3 linked regions of the Mus musculus genome follow. The protein of the gene in region 3 interacts with the protein of the main gene of each other region in a pairwise test. Links are inferred from orthologs where the notes say so. Each region holds a gene or a part of one and is shown on either strand. Other genes may lie near its edges. The genes, in order: Ccser2, Cep170 and Ndel1.

Evidence for each region.
Region 1: the proteins of Ndel1 (region 3) and Ccser2 interact in binary tests that used the Homo sapiens proteins (3 or more experiments, as listed by UniProt). The link is inferred for Mus musculus from reciprocal best matches to the Homo sapiens genes NDEL1 and CCSER2.
Region 2: the proteins of Ndel1 (region 3) and Cep170 interact in a two-hybrid assay, tested with the Homo sapiens proteins (2 studies listed by BioGRID and IntAct). The link is inferred for Mus musculus from reciprocal best matches to the Homo sapiens genes NDEL1 and CEP170.

What each region holds. Positions count from the first base shown.
Region 1 is NC_000080.6:36,937,751-36,941,400, forward strand, and holds part of Ccser2 (serine-rich coiled-coil domain-containing protein 2), read right to left. Parts: intron 3,515-3,650; 5' UTR 3,476-3,514; coding exon 2,062-3,475; intron 1,031-2,061; coding exon 834-1,030; intron 1-833. UniProt on the Homo sapiens protein: Microtubule-binding protein which might play a role in microtubule bundling.
Region 2 is NC_000067.6:176,737,611-176,741,260, forward strand, and holds part of Cep170 (centrosomal protein of 170 kDa), read right to left. Parts: intron 2,480-3,650; coding exon 2,309-2,479; intron 1,560-2,308; coding exon 1,471-1,559; intron 12-1,470; coding exon 1-11.
Region 3 is NC_000077.6:68,850,258-68,854,660, forward strand, and holds the start of Ndel1 (nuclear distribution protein nudE-like 1), read right to left. Parts: upstream 2,879-4,403; 5' UTR 2,685-2,878; exon of another isoform or gene 2,101-2,684; intron 1-2,100. UniProt on the Homo sapiens protein: Required for organization of the cellular microtubule array and microtubule anchoring at the centrosome. May regulate microtubule organization at least in part by targeting the microtubule severing protein KATNA1 to the centrosome.

The sequences.
Region 1 (3,650 bases), on a different chromosome or scaffold from region 3:
TATATAGATATAGAAAGCTTTGCTGCCTGAAAGCCAGTTAGAATGTTATATATTTATAAACCAATTTGATTTGTGAGTATTTCTATTTCATAACCTAAATAATTACCCTGAGCCATTTTAACCACACCAGTTGCATTTTATTAGCGTGTCTGTATCTAAGTTGCTTGTAATGTTTTATAAAAGAACTATGCATTAATATGTGGTGGCACTTGTAGTTCCCTCTTTCCAGACACAGGGAGATTATTTTCCTATCCCCTTAGTACTTATGTGGGACCACAGACAAACTGATTTTCAAGTGTGAATGAAAACACCAGAGCCACTTGCAGGCCAAATTAGATACTGCAAGGGTGTGACTGACAGTCCTGTCTCCTTCTGTCTTGGTAATAAGGGCTTCAAAGACAAGGTCAAACCCAAAGCCAAAGCAGCTTAGGTCATTATAGGCAGCTGTCCTAGAGAGTCGCCCAGACCTACAAAAGACTTTGTTAAGAATAAAAGCCAAAACCTCCCACTGTATTAAAGGCACACTGGACTGGCGACAGAATGGTAGGTAGTCCATCAGCACAGCCTACCCAGATACTTGGTCCTGGATCAACTGGTCCATCAGTCCACCACTCTTTCTGTAGGAAGCGCATGTTAAGCACCATCCCTGACACCCCTTCACCAAGGGGCACTTCTCAATACAGCAACTAAAAGTGTTGTAGATGTCACGTTCTTAGCTTAACTTAACCAATACACTAATGCCTTTATAATAAATTATGTATGTGTGTATTTGTATGTGTTTGTATAAAGAAATAAAAAGAAATCTCCCAAAGGGTAGAGAAATCCATACATACTATGCTGTTCATTTCAGAGGACTCATAGCTGCCAACAGGATGGACACTCCCAATGGGCTCCAGGCCCTCTTCATCCCACATGTACGTTCCATCAGAGCTATCGGACGGAGAGAGTTCAAATGAAGACCCAGCTCTGTAATCCGTATCCGGTGAAATCAAGTTGTTTCCAGATGTATGCTTTGTACATTCACTCCTGTCTTCAAATGATTTTAAAAGAAAGAAAAAAGCGTGAATTTATAAAACACAGTCATTTCTCATTTCTAAAATATAAGCTCTAATAATCCAATCTATTATAACAGCATTTGGTTCAAAAACTATAACTGTAGCATTTTCCTAAATACTAAATAAACTTTTTTTTGGGGGGGAGGCAAAGTTTTCAAAATAAGCCACTAAAACATTTTGTAATAAACATAAAATTCACTCATTTTTTTACATCTTCACATTCCTTTACTATTTCTTAAGGTATTTATTTCATTTTAACCACTGTTTAGGAAACTCTCTTCCTCTCTACAGACTACTTAATCTCACAGATATGTCCTTAAAAGACAACTTGTTCTAGGCATCTTCCAGTTTATAATGCCTGAAGACAGTTTAGTGCATCACTATGAGTGAGCCAGTCCCTTGACTAGACATGCCTTTGTGCACTCCCTTTGGGCTTCTTTTTCTGGGTAGATGAACAAATGACATTCATCCTGCACTAAGTTCCAATATAGCCAAGTCTAATAGGCATTCACTCTCCCTCCTCGGTACCGTCAGTAAATAATGCTTCAGTGAGTAGTACCACATAAGGACTGCTAAACAGAACTGTTCCCGAGGATAGAAAGCTTTCAACTAAACAGGCTTATGTTATCTGACTTGTGTTTGATATAGCTTGACTCCTAGCAGACTGCAATGATGGCTACGGCGAATGGTGTGGTTTAGCGTTTAGTGGCAAGCCACTCCCAGGCAGAGTTGGGAAAACTGTCTGGAAACCATGGCCTACACAATGCAGGACTTGGCATGTATAAGACAGCTCCCAAAAAGGCAAAGTATAAAGAGTTTAACTGATTCTATCCTAGAAAATAATGCAAGATGGAAACAAGCCGCAAGGTTGCTGCTCTGCTGCGCTCTCCTCCAGCCTGAGCCGCCTCAGTCAAACAGCGTCTTACAGTCTATCAAGGCAAGGCTAAATGTTAGCTCTGCTGTAATCACCAGGGAAAGCACGGAAGTTAAGGATAGCCATATTTACCAGAGACACTTATATCTATCCACTCTTCAGCTTTACTGAAGGCCTGCTCACTTTCCTTAGGAGAATCAAATATATCCTTTGATGGTCTGCTCTCATGCTTTTCTTCTTTGAGAGTCATTTCCTCTGGCGTTATTCTAGTTCTGTTGGAGTCCTCTAAGTCTATGAAATCATCGCTGAAATCTTCACTTAAATCATTCTTGTCGGAAGACGACAAGGACGACAAGGAAATATCATCCACGTCATCGCTCAGGTACCTAACTTTAGACTCGTTCTTCCCAGTCTGGTCATTGTCTCTTCGGTAACTTTCATTTTCAATTAGTTCTTGGTCCTTACCCGGAGAGCTGTCCTGGGCTGAAACCATACCTTCTTCCTCTACGCACATGTCAGCAGGTGGGTTTTTATTACTGTCAACTGTCATGGGCCCAGAAAATGGAGGTCGGCTAGATTTCAGTAGAGGGGGATGAGCCATCCTATAAACCAACGTGGACGAGACAGCGGGGCCATTGGATAAGGCCAGTTTCTTTCCAGCAGCAGCATAAGGCCTATTAAAACCAAACCCCACATGTTCGTTCCCATTGAGTACTTCTGACTGCAGAGAACTTCTTGTTAGCATACCTGACCGGAGAGGCACTCGAACGGGGAGCTGTTGGTTCTGATAAGGCTTTGTAAGGTCTACAGCTCTGTTGAAGGAATGCGATCTGGTTATAGATGAAGGTGGAAGGAAGACATTCTGAATGGAATGTGAAAAACTTTGTGACCTTACCATTTTTTCACAAGTGATAGATTTAGCATTGTCTGGGGACTGTGCTAAGCTTTCTCCAGAACTACTTCTGCTGGCACAGGAGTTCACTCTTGGCTTCTGCACGTTACCAGAAGATCTGTTCCCATAAAACGCATTCAAATGTGACTTCGCATTGACCGAAGAATATGAAGTCCTTCCTAGTAATGTGCCTTTGGTAAATTTACCCAAATTAGATGGTCCAGAGAAAGATTTTTGACTTAACTCCTCTGCCGATGACACAAACATGGTTGATGGTCTTGCTAACTTGGATGTGAACAAGGAAGCACTTTTCAAACCTCCCTTTATCCCATGCCCATCCAGCGTTCCTGGAGCAGGTGCATGTTGTTCAGGCTCAATTAGTTTATCATGTGTACTTTGAATATTATTAAGTTCTGCTGTATTTTGTGAACCAAGTTGATATTTATTTGTTTTTCTCCAATTAAATGAATGGGACAATGAACAATCAGAGCCATTATTTTTTATGTAACTTTTGACATTACTACTCTTGGAGGTCCCTAATAAAGTCACAGTGGCGCCATTTGGCATCGGCTGCAATGTACTTCTCACAGATTTCATTCCATATTTCGGCAGCTTGGAACCCAAAAATGTCTTGATTTGTGTTTTTTCTTCCATGGGCTATAAGGTGCATTGGTTCTTAAAACTTGACAGAATCTGAGGGAAGAAAAAGATTAACATTTCTAAATAACATTAATAATGTGAAATATATTAATTACTTCCAGACAATTATCCATGACTCCTATACAAAATAAGCAAAATGTAAAGTTAATTTAATTTTGACATTTCGAAT
Region 2 (3,650 bases), on a different chromosome or scaffold from region 3:
TAAACAATATTCTACAGTCAAAAAACACAAGCATTTCAAGTTCATGGTTTTGTTGATGATATCAAAAACTACATACATAGTTTGTGTAATTTCAAAACTATATTAAGAAAAATAATCATTCAATGAACTCAGATGTATAATAGTGAACACTATTGATTCAAGCTTGTGAAAATCTATTAAAAACATAACTCAATAGGTACTAAAATGTCGATTGCTGTCAATATGCAGGTGAGCGCAGGAGTAATATAAGACTAGAGTCTATGATTGGACAATGAAAAAGGAAGGTGGGGCTGAGAGTTTCAGAGACAGGACAGGAGAGAGAGAAAAGACAGAGAAGATGGAAGAACAAGAGTACAAACCCAATCCACCTGGCTTTCAGTAGCCACAGGTAGCTATGAATATCTCAGAATGGACAGAATAATATAGGACAATTTGTACAATCTAGGTGGGCAGCTTATATCAGTAATTAGCTCTGAGTTCATTTTGTGGGTTGAGAATTTACTGATATAAATCTGACTGATAAATTACAAGTCTCTATAGTTTTGATTTCACTGGGTTATAGGGATTTGTGACAGCTAACCACGGGGGTGGGGAGTGGGGGTGAGGAGTTGGCTGGGAATGTGAGCAGGTTCCACAACAAGTGAACAGTGAGTCAGGTGGCTGTATGCCCCAATTTCAAGCAAATACTAAGGACCTATCAATATTTTAGATACATTTGAAAAAGTAAAGGTATTCAGTTAATAAAAAGCCCAAGATGTAGAACAAGTGATCAGGATTCTGTCTGTTGAGACTTGAACTTAAAGGGAGAAAAAAATACATATAGCATGCTAAATAGTGTATGTATAATGTAAATATATCTTAAACATTTGGAGTTTTGAACCTGGCTCACATACTGTTAAACACTACTAAAATTAAAGAGGAAAGCAAATGGTACAAATCTCACTTTAAATAGGGATTTAAAAAAATTACATTATTTGTTTATTTACTTATTTATGTTCTGTGCTGGGAATCGATTGCAAGGCCTCACAAGTGACAGGTTGGCCCTGCGATTAAACTGTCACAGGCTTTGGCCTCTATCACCAGCCCTGGTAGCTACTTGTTTTTATTAAGAATGTGGACCTATGGCTGAACAGTCTACATACATTTTAATCTTTAAGGCTGCTGCATCATAGACTTCCAGAGTCGTAACAGCTCAGTCTAACACCTTATCCAAAGACACTAGAGTCCAGTCTGAATAAAAGAAACCTCAAGAGTTTGCTAAGTTTAAAATATTTACTAATATTTTGTGAAGAAAGAAAATGGTTTTAGTACTAGGAACTGAAAGTGTTAGTGCTCTTTATATCTGAAGTAACTGGTAAGAGCAGTGTAAGAACCCACATCAGTGACGTCTCTAGCTCCTCACAGCAGTGGCCACAGGTTTGAAGAGAATGGACAGGAAACAAGAAGTAGAGATTAGAGAAACACAAGTACCTGATTTTCCCAGCTGTTTTATCAATGGATTGTCTAATCTTCCTAGAGAACTGAAAGACTGATGACAATAGCAGATTATCTCCCATGACCTGAAACAGAGAAAAAGTGTAGTAACATATAGTTATTGAATAACTCCTAAGAACACTAGCAGCAATTCACTATACTCAAACTATTGATGCTAATTTTAACTTAAAATATACGGATGATGTAATTATTCCAGAGAGCAGAAGAAACATCAACAGAGTTCCTTTGTTAAAAAAAATTGTCAATGTTCCCTATTATTTTGGTCATCCCATTTTTAAAAACAACCAATTTTATCCTCTTTAATTACTATCATGACTCTGCCTCTCATATATATAATTTACATTATCATAAAAGGGAAAATGGAAGTAGAGTACTATATTATTTATTTACTAAATAATACAAATACAAAGATGAGAAAGAGAGCAACCACCAGCTCTTCAGAGACAAGTGAGGGAGTAAATTGTCATGATGGGTGTTGATATTGCCTCAGTTCAGAATGGGGTAAAACTAGAGGCTAGAGGCCAAACCTGAGTCCTGGGCCAGAGCAGCAGTAACTCTTAAATGCTGGGCTATCTTTCAAGTTCCTTATTTTTTTAAAGGATTAGTTAAATAGTTTTAACAAACACTGGCTTTTAGGTTAACTTAGAATTAATCTTGACTTGTATCCATTACTAGTTTAGTTTGAACAACTCTTTCTCTTTAATAACAAAATAATGAATTTGGTACCCGTGAAGTACCTGGAACCTAACATTAGCTAATATGGCACAGCAGAGATGCCTCTTCGCCATCTGTTCCAAGTCTGCAGTTTACTTACTTCATCCCTACTCCAGGTTCTCCGTCTTGTAATTGTTAAGTGATCAGGATGCTCGGCTGGCTGAGGCCTCGAGTCAACAGACCGACCGTTGTTTCCTTCTGGTGTTTTAGAATGAACTAATGGAGGTATCTTTCGGAAGTTGAGACTTTCATCAAAAACACGATCAACCAACTAGTGGGACAAAAGTAAATCCTTATGAGAACAGAATAGTGAGAAGTGTAGAAATACTGGTACTATAATTTTTATGATTAGAGAGAAATTATTTCATTCTCGAACAGAAGCATGACATCTTCAATAAACCAATTACTTTTTAAATAAGCACGCCAAATAGGTCTCTTCTATAAAGTAGATGTTCATCTATGCTAATCTTATTTTCAGGGTTGAAAGTATTTAACAATTGTTTTCATGATGTTCTCCATAGGGAAAAAAAAAATAGATGCTTTACGAGAAAAACCCTGGGCCATGGAGTGGACAATGGGTTCACTTTACTCATACTGCCTTACCAGCACAAAATATTGTTTCTTTTTCTTTTAGTTTTCTATCTTGTTTTTTTTTCCTTTTTTCCTCCCCAAATCCAGGTGCTAAATTTCTTCACAAGATACATGAATGGTAAATTCAATTAAATTTATAAAAGGAAACAAAATTAATCCATATAGTAAGTATTTTGTCTTAGTCAAACTTTTAACAATGATAGAGAACATACATCTTCTGCCAGTAGCACTAATGTCCTACCATCTACAGTGCAGACTATGGACATGCAACACCAAGTAACAGGTTTACCGACGAAAGAATAACTAGGGTAACAGTCTTAAATAAAACAAAAGGGGAATGAAAGTCTATTCCATGAAATGTTTCAGTAATTCTACCAGGGCTCAGTGAATGAATAACCATGTTAGGTACAATTCAGTTAGAAAGCTGAGAAAATAATATCATTTAAATGTACCAGAGACATGTGTATGTCTTGCCACCATGAAGATCCTCTTGGTTTTGTTTTTTTTTAACCAACAAAGACAATTTTTATATACATTTATAATTGATCAGTGTGGTAACAAAACTCTACACAATTAATGAAATATCATTTATTAAATTAGAAAACATACAAACAAAAAATACACAAGAAGTGACCATTAAGGAGCTTTATAAGAAAAAAAAATGAGACAAAAAGCAATGGAAGAAAAGATTATCAGCACAATTTGCCAGGATTAAATGTCCAAAAGGCTAGGCATTTTTGGTTACTATTTATAATTTAATAAATTGAAGAAGTCGAGTTATCAGTATGAGGAACTAGCAGCATTTTTCTATAAAGTAGCAGACAGTAAGTGTTCTTGGCTTTGCAACCCTA
Region 3 (4,403 bases):
CCATTCACATGAACATACCCACATGCAGACACAAACCTACACAAAATTAAATATAATAAATATATCTACTTTTTAAAAGAACAAATCTGAGGGGACTAGAAAAGTGGCTCAGTGGCTCTTGCAGAAGACTAGAATATGGTTCCCCGCACCAACACAGGGCAACTCCCTCCCTCTAGCTCTAGCTCTTCTTCTGGCCTCTGCAGCCACCCACATTCACACATATAACACTCACACACAGAAATAAGGTTTTAAAAGAAAATTAATTTAGCCAGAAAAATCAGCATGCAAAGCTCAGGCCCTAGAGTCAAACTATGGCCTGGCTGAGAGACCTTGGGCAAGCTATTCAACTTCTCAGTGCCTCATTTCCTCACCTATAAAACAGGAAGATCAGTTGTATTTGGAAGATGAGGTGAGTTACTATTGGCACAGTACGTGTAACAGAGCCTGATGCATAAACATCACATAAATGTTAATTCAACTCTAAGAAACTACTAGGCCAGAAGTGGACCTTTAAGTTAGACCAGAGTAAACAGACTTCCAAATTTATAAGCAGATGACTCCTTTCATTACAAAAGCATCCCTAACGTCTCTCCTGGAACAAGCTTTATGCGCTAGACTAAAACAAGTTCTTTCCCTCCCATCACACGCTGTATCTGTTGCTTCCCGCCTGGCAGTACCCAGCTTTATCCCTACACCTATTCATCAACTTCATCCTTCTAAGAACCAGGTTCAAGTAACGAATGTGCTACCCTTGCAGGTGATCTCAAAACTGTGTGTGTGGAGTTTGCCTCCAGGTACTCGGAGAGGCTCACTGTCGCTTGAGATTACGTAAGTGGGGAAAGTTAGCCAATGTCAAATCTTTCACTGATTTAAAAAGTGCTCAAATGGCATATCTACAATCTTCTACAGCTGCAAGGCTAGCAGACAAGGACTTTCTGCTCCTCTCCATCTTCCTTAATTCTAGGTCTCACATGGAGTGTGAGTGTACAATTACAACTTCTGCAGCAGACATGCTCACACTCTACGACCTTTAGATGTGAACAACTGACAATTAGCTCACTGAAACTTTAAACAGTTATCATCTAACAGAGCTTACTGGCAAAGATACTCTGTACAGCACTAAGAAAATTAATTTTACATGACTATTAACATATATGCAGAATGAAATAGGCCTTATTTCTCTCCCTTATGAAGTGCCTAGAAAGTAATTTTAACTTAAGTCCTCAATCCTCAAGTCTATTTTAGCATGGTTTAAAATACGCATGAAAATAAATTTTGTTGGTCTCATAAAAGCATGTTCAGGTCTATTTTTTATTTCAAATGCTCTGGATCCAACTTCAATTCAATTCAAAACCAAGGCACTGCAGATTTAGCAACTTCTTCTAAGATTAAGTTTGTCTCTAACTGGAGCTAAAGGTTTTCTTTGTTCTTTATGTATTCCTACTCTAAGATTTTAACAACAATTCAGAAGAGATACCCCCAACTGGGTGTCCTTTGGTCTCTTTTGACTCCTTAACTTAATGATGAGCTTTGCCCTCTCAGCTTTCTGATTTGGCAGACATTACCCTACCTCTTAAGTGCAGTGAAAGCAACATAATTTTCAGACTAACAACCAGCCACTCATGAGCAAGCTTCAGGATAAGATTTTTCTAGTAACTGAGCTTTTGGGGGTTTTTTGTTTGTTGTTGTTGTTTGGTTTGGGGTTTTTTTGGTTTTTTTGGTCAATTTACTCGAAAATAAATAAGTCATCTAGTAACTTCTGGTATTATCTTTAACAAGTCCAATGTTCAGTCCTCTTTCCGGCTGAAGAAGTTAAAAAAAAAAAATCTCATGAAAACAGAAACCAGAACCCTGAGCTTAGAAAGGTAAATTGTAACCCAAGCTAAACTTCTCACCAGTTAGTGGAACCCAAATAAAAATCACTCAGTTGCCCCAACCTCCTGTACCTAGGTTCAATTTCCCCATCCAGCAAAAAGTGACTTACAGTATCCGTCGCAAGTACAAACAGCAAATGTTCTAAAATGTTTACAAACGCTACAGGAATGGGCCCGGGTAATGAAAAGGACCCTCACTCGCCTTAAACTTAAAAGTGTTAGTCACCTCATCGTTTCTCAGAGAAAAATAAGAAGCGAATCCAAGCAACCGGGGTCGGTTGGTTAGTGAGACTTTCCCCAACTCCAAAGAGGATGATTAGCAGTTCGGGGCAGGCAGTCACGAGACTGCCAGTCTCTGCCAACGCGGGCTGCTCCTGCTCTCGCCTCCCGCATCTGGGGCGCTGGGAAATCAAGATCCTGCCCGGCTCCTAACCACCCCGGCAGCTCCAGGGAATCAAGGATGGGTGGAGCGAGAAGCTGGGCGCGCCTCCGCCACCCCAACTGGGCCACTCCTCGAGCCGTCAGCGCCTCAGCCCCCGGTGCCACGTCCCGGCCTCCGTCCCTCCTCTGGAAGCCCGGGACTCGCTCTCCCGCAGGTGCCCCCGGTGGGCCACACCTCCGCCAGTAAGGAGGGGACAGTTAAAGCGGTTGGAACAGTTGTCTCGGTACGGGCCGCCCCAGAACCCAAGCCCGGCCTGGCCCAGCGGGCTGAGCCCCAGCCCGGCGGCGGTCAGGCAGGCTCCCCCGGGGCAGGCCTCGGCGCTGCCCGCCTGGCTCGAACCCCAGAGGCTGCGTCGCACGGGAGCTCACCGCCAATGTGTCAAAAGCGCATGTTCGCCGCCGCTCGGCCGACGTCTCTGCTCCGCTGGCCTGGCCAGGCCCGCCCAGCCGCTCAGCTCTGCTCCCTTCCGCAGCCCTGAGCTCCACTCCGCGTATCCCCGCACCGGGCTCCTCCCCGACACGTCAGGGGCTCCCTGGGTGTCGGAGGCCATTCTGTGACGCACGGGGGCGGAGTCAAGAGCATGCGCAGAAGCAGGCTGGCGTGCGGGGCGGAGCGGTGGGAGGCCAGAGTCACGTGGAGCCGACCTAGGCTTTGCGCGCTGACGTGAGATCTGCGACAGCGTCCTGCGCAGGCGCCGCCCCGGACCCCCGAAGGAGGTGGGTTTTTTAGCCCTGTGCTGTCTCCGGAAGCTGTGCTGCGCAGGAGAGTAGTTCCCTAGGCTAAAATGGGAAGCCAGTATAAAGCCAGTATAGAGTACTAGCTCACGAAGGAGACAGGAGAAATACACAACTGTCCTGGAACTAGAAACTTAAATTTAAAAAAGGCATTTGGGGAACAACTATAGGAACTTTAGCTGTCTCATGCTCAATGTAATTGTTATTTCAGTGCTGTTGGGATTGGTTTTGAAGTTTGAAGACAAAACAACATAGCATAAGACATATGCTGAGCCTAAGAAAGACAAGGTGAGCCCACGTATACGGTTGGGAAAGGTCAATATAAACAAAAAACGGTGCGAGATGGATTTTTAAGGAGAACCCAAACTGATGAGCAGAGGAAGATTACTGGGGTCTAGAGCGTCTTGAACTACACTATGAAGGATATAGGGTTTTTAAAAAGAGATTATGAGTTCACTGTGCGGTTTGTCGCGCCCGTAGTTGTACCAGTCACTGGGGTGCATTGCTTTGTCACAGTAACCCCACGTCACTCTCATTTACAAGTAAGAAATAGCAAGATGAAGTTCCCCAAGGTCACTCACCTACAGCGCAAATTCAAACTCAGAAGCTACACTGTTATCCACTACTACGCTGACAAGAAGGGAAACATAGGCTAGACCGTGGGGCTAAAGTGCCTTCCATACACTACTGTTAACCATCAACAACATTTGAAGCTGGAATCATTAGATCTATATTGTAACATAAGACTCAAAAAAAAAAAAAAAAAAGGTCTGCTTTACAGGCCAGTGGCCTGGAACAGCTTTGAAACTCAGTCTGGCTTCCCTACCTGAAACTCTGCTCAATCTAATCAGACTTAAGGCAGAGAAGTGATTAATGAAGGCTTTCCTATAGACCCGGTGCCAAGACAGGAACCGTCCCACCCAAACAGGAAAAGATAAAAAGGCCACAGCTTCTGTCCTGCCTCCTGGCTGAGGTGCTAAGAAACACACTGAGTCACCTAATGGCTGGCCAGGCCCTTCAGAAAACAGTGACATCATCTCCCAGGCTGCTGCCCCTCCCATTTGCTCTGCCCCTAGGACTGGCATCATCCCCTTCTTAATGAATGGGCTTAGCTTGGCAGAGCCCTCAGAAGCCAAAGGCCCTGCTCTGATCTTCGTTGGCCCAGAGGCTGGAATAGTACCCTAGAGTCAGCAAACTGCCCGACCTCCTTCCATTACACCAAATCCATGGGAAATAAATCAGTAAAGAAGATGACAGTCTCAAAAGGAAGCACAAGTTATAAAACTAGCATTGTAAGAGAAGAAAAGGTGAGAGCTGCTGTACCCTTCAAACTTTGTAAAGCATTCCAGGGCA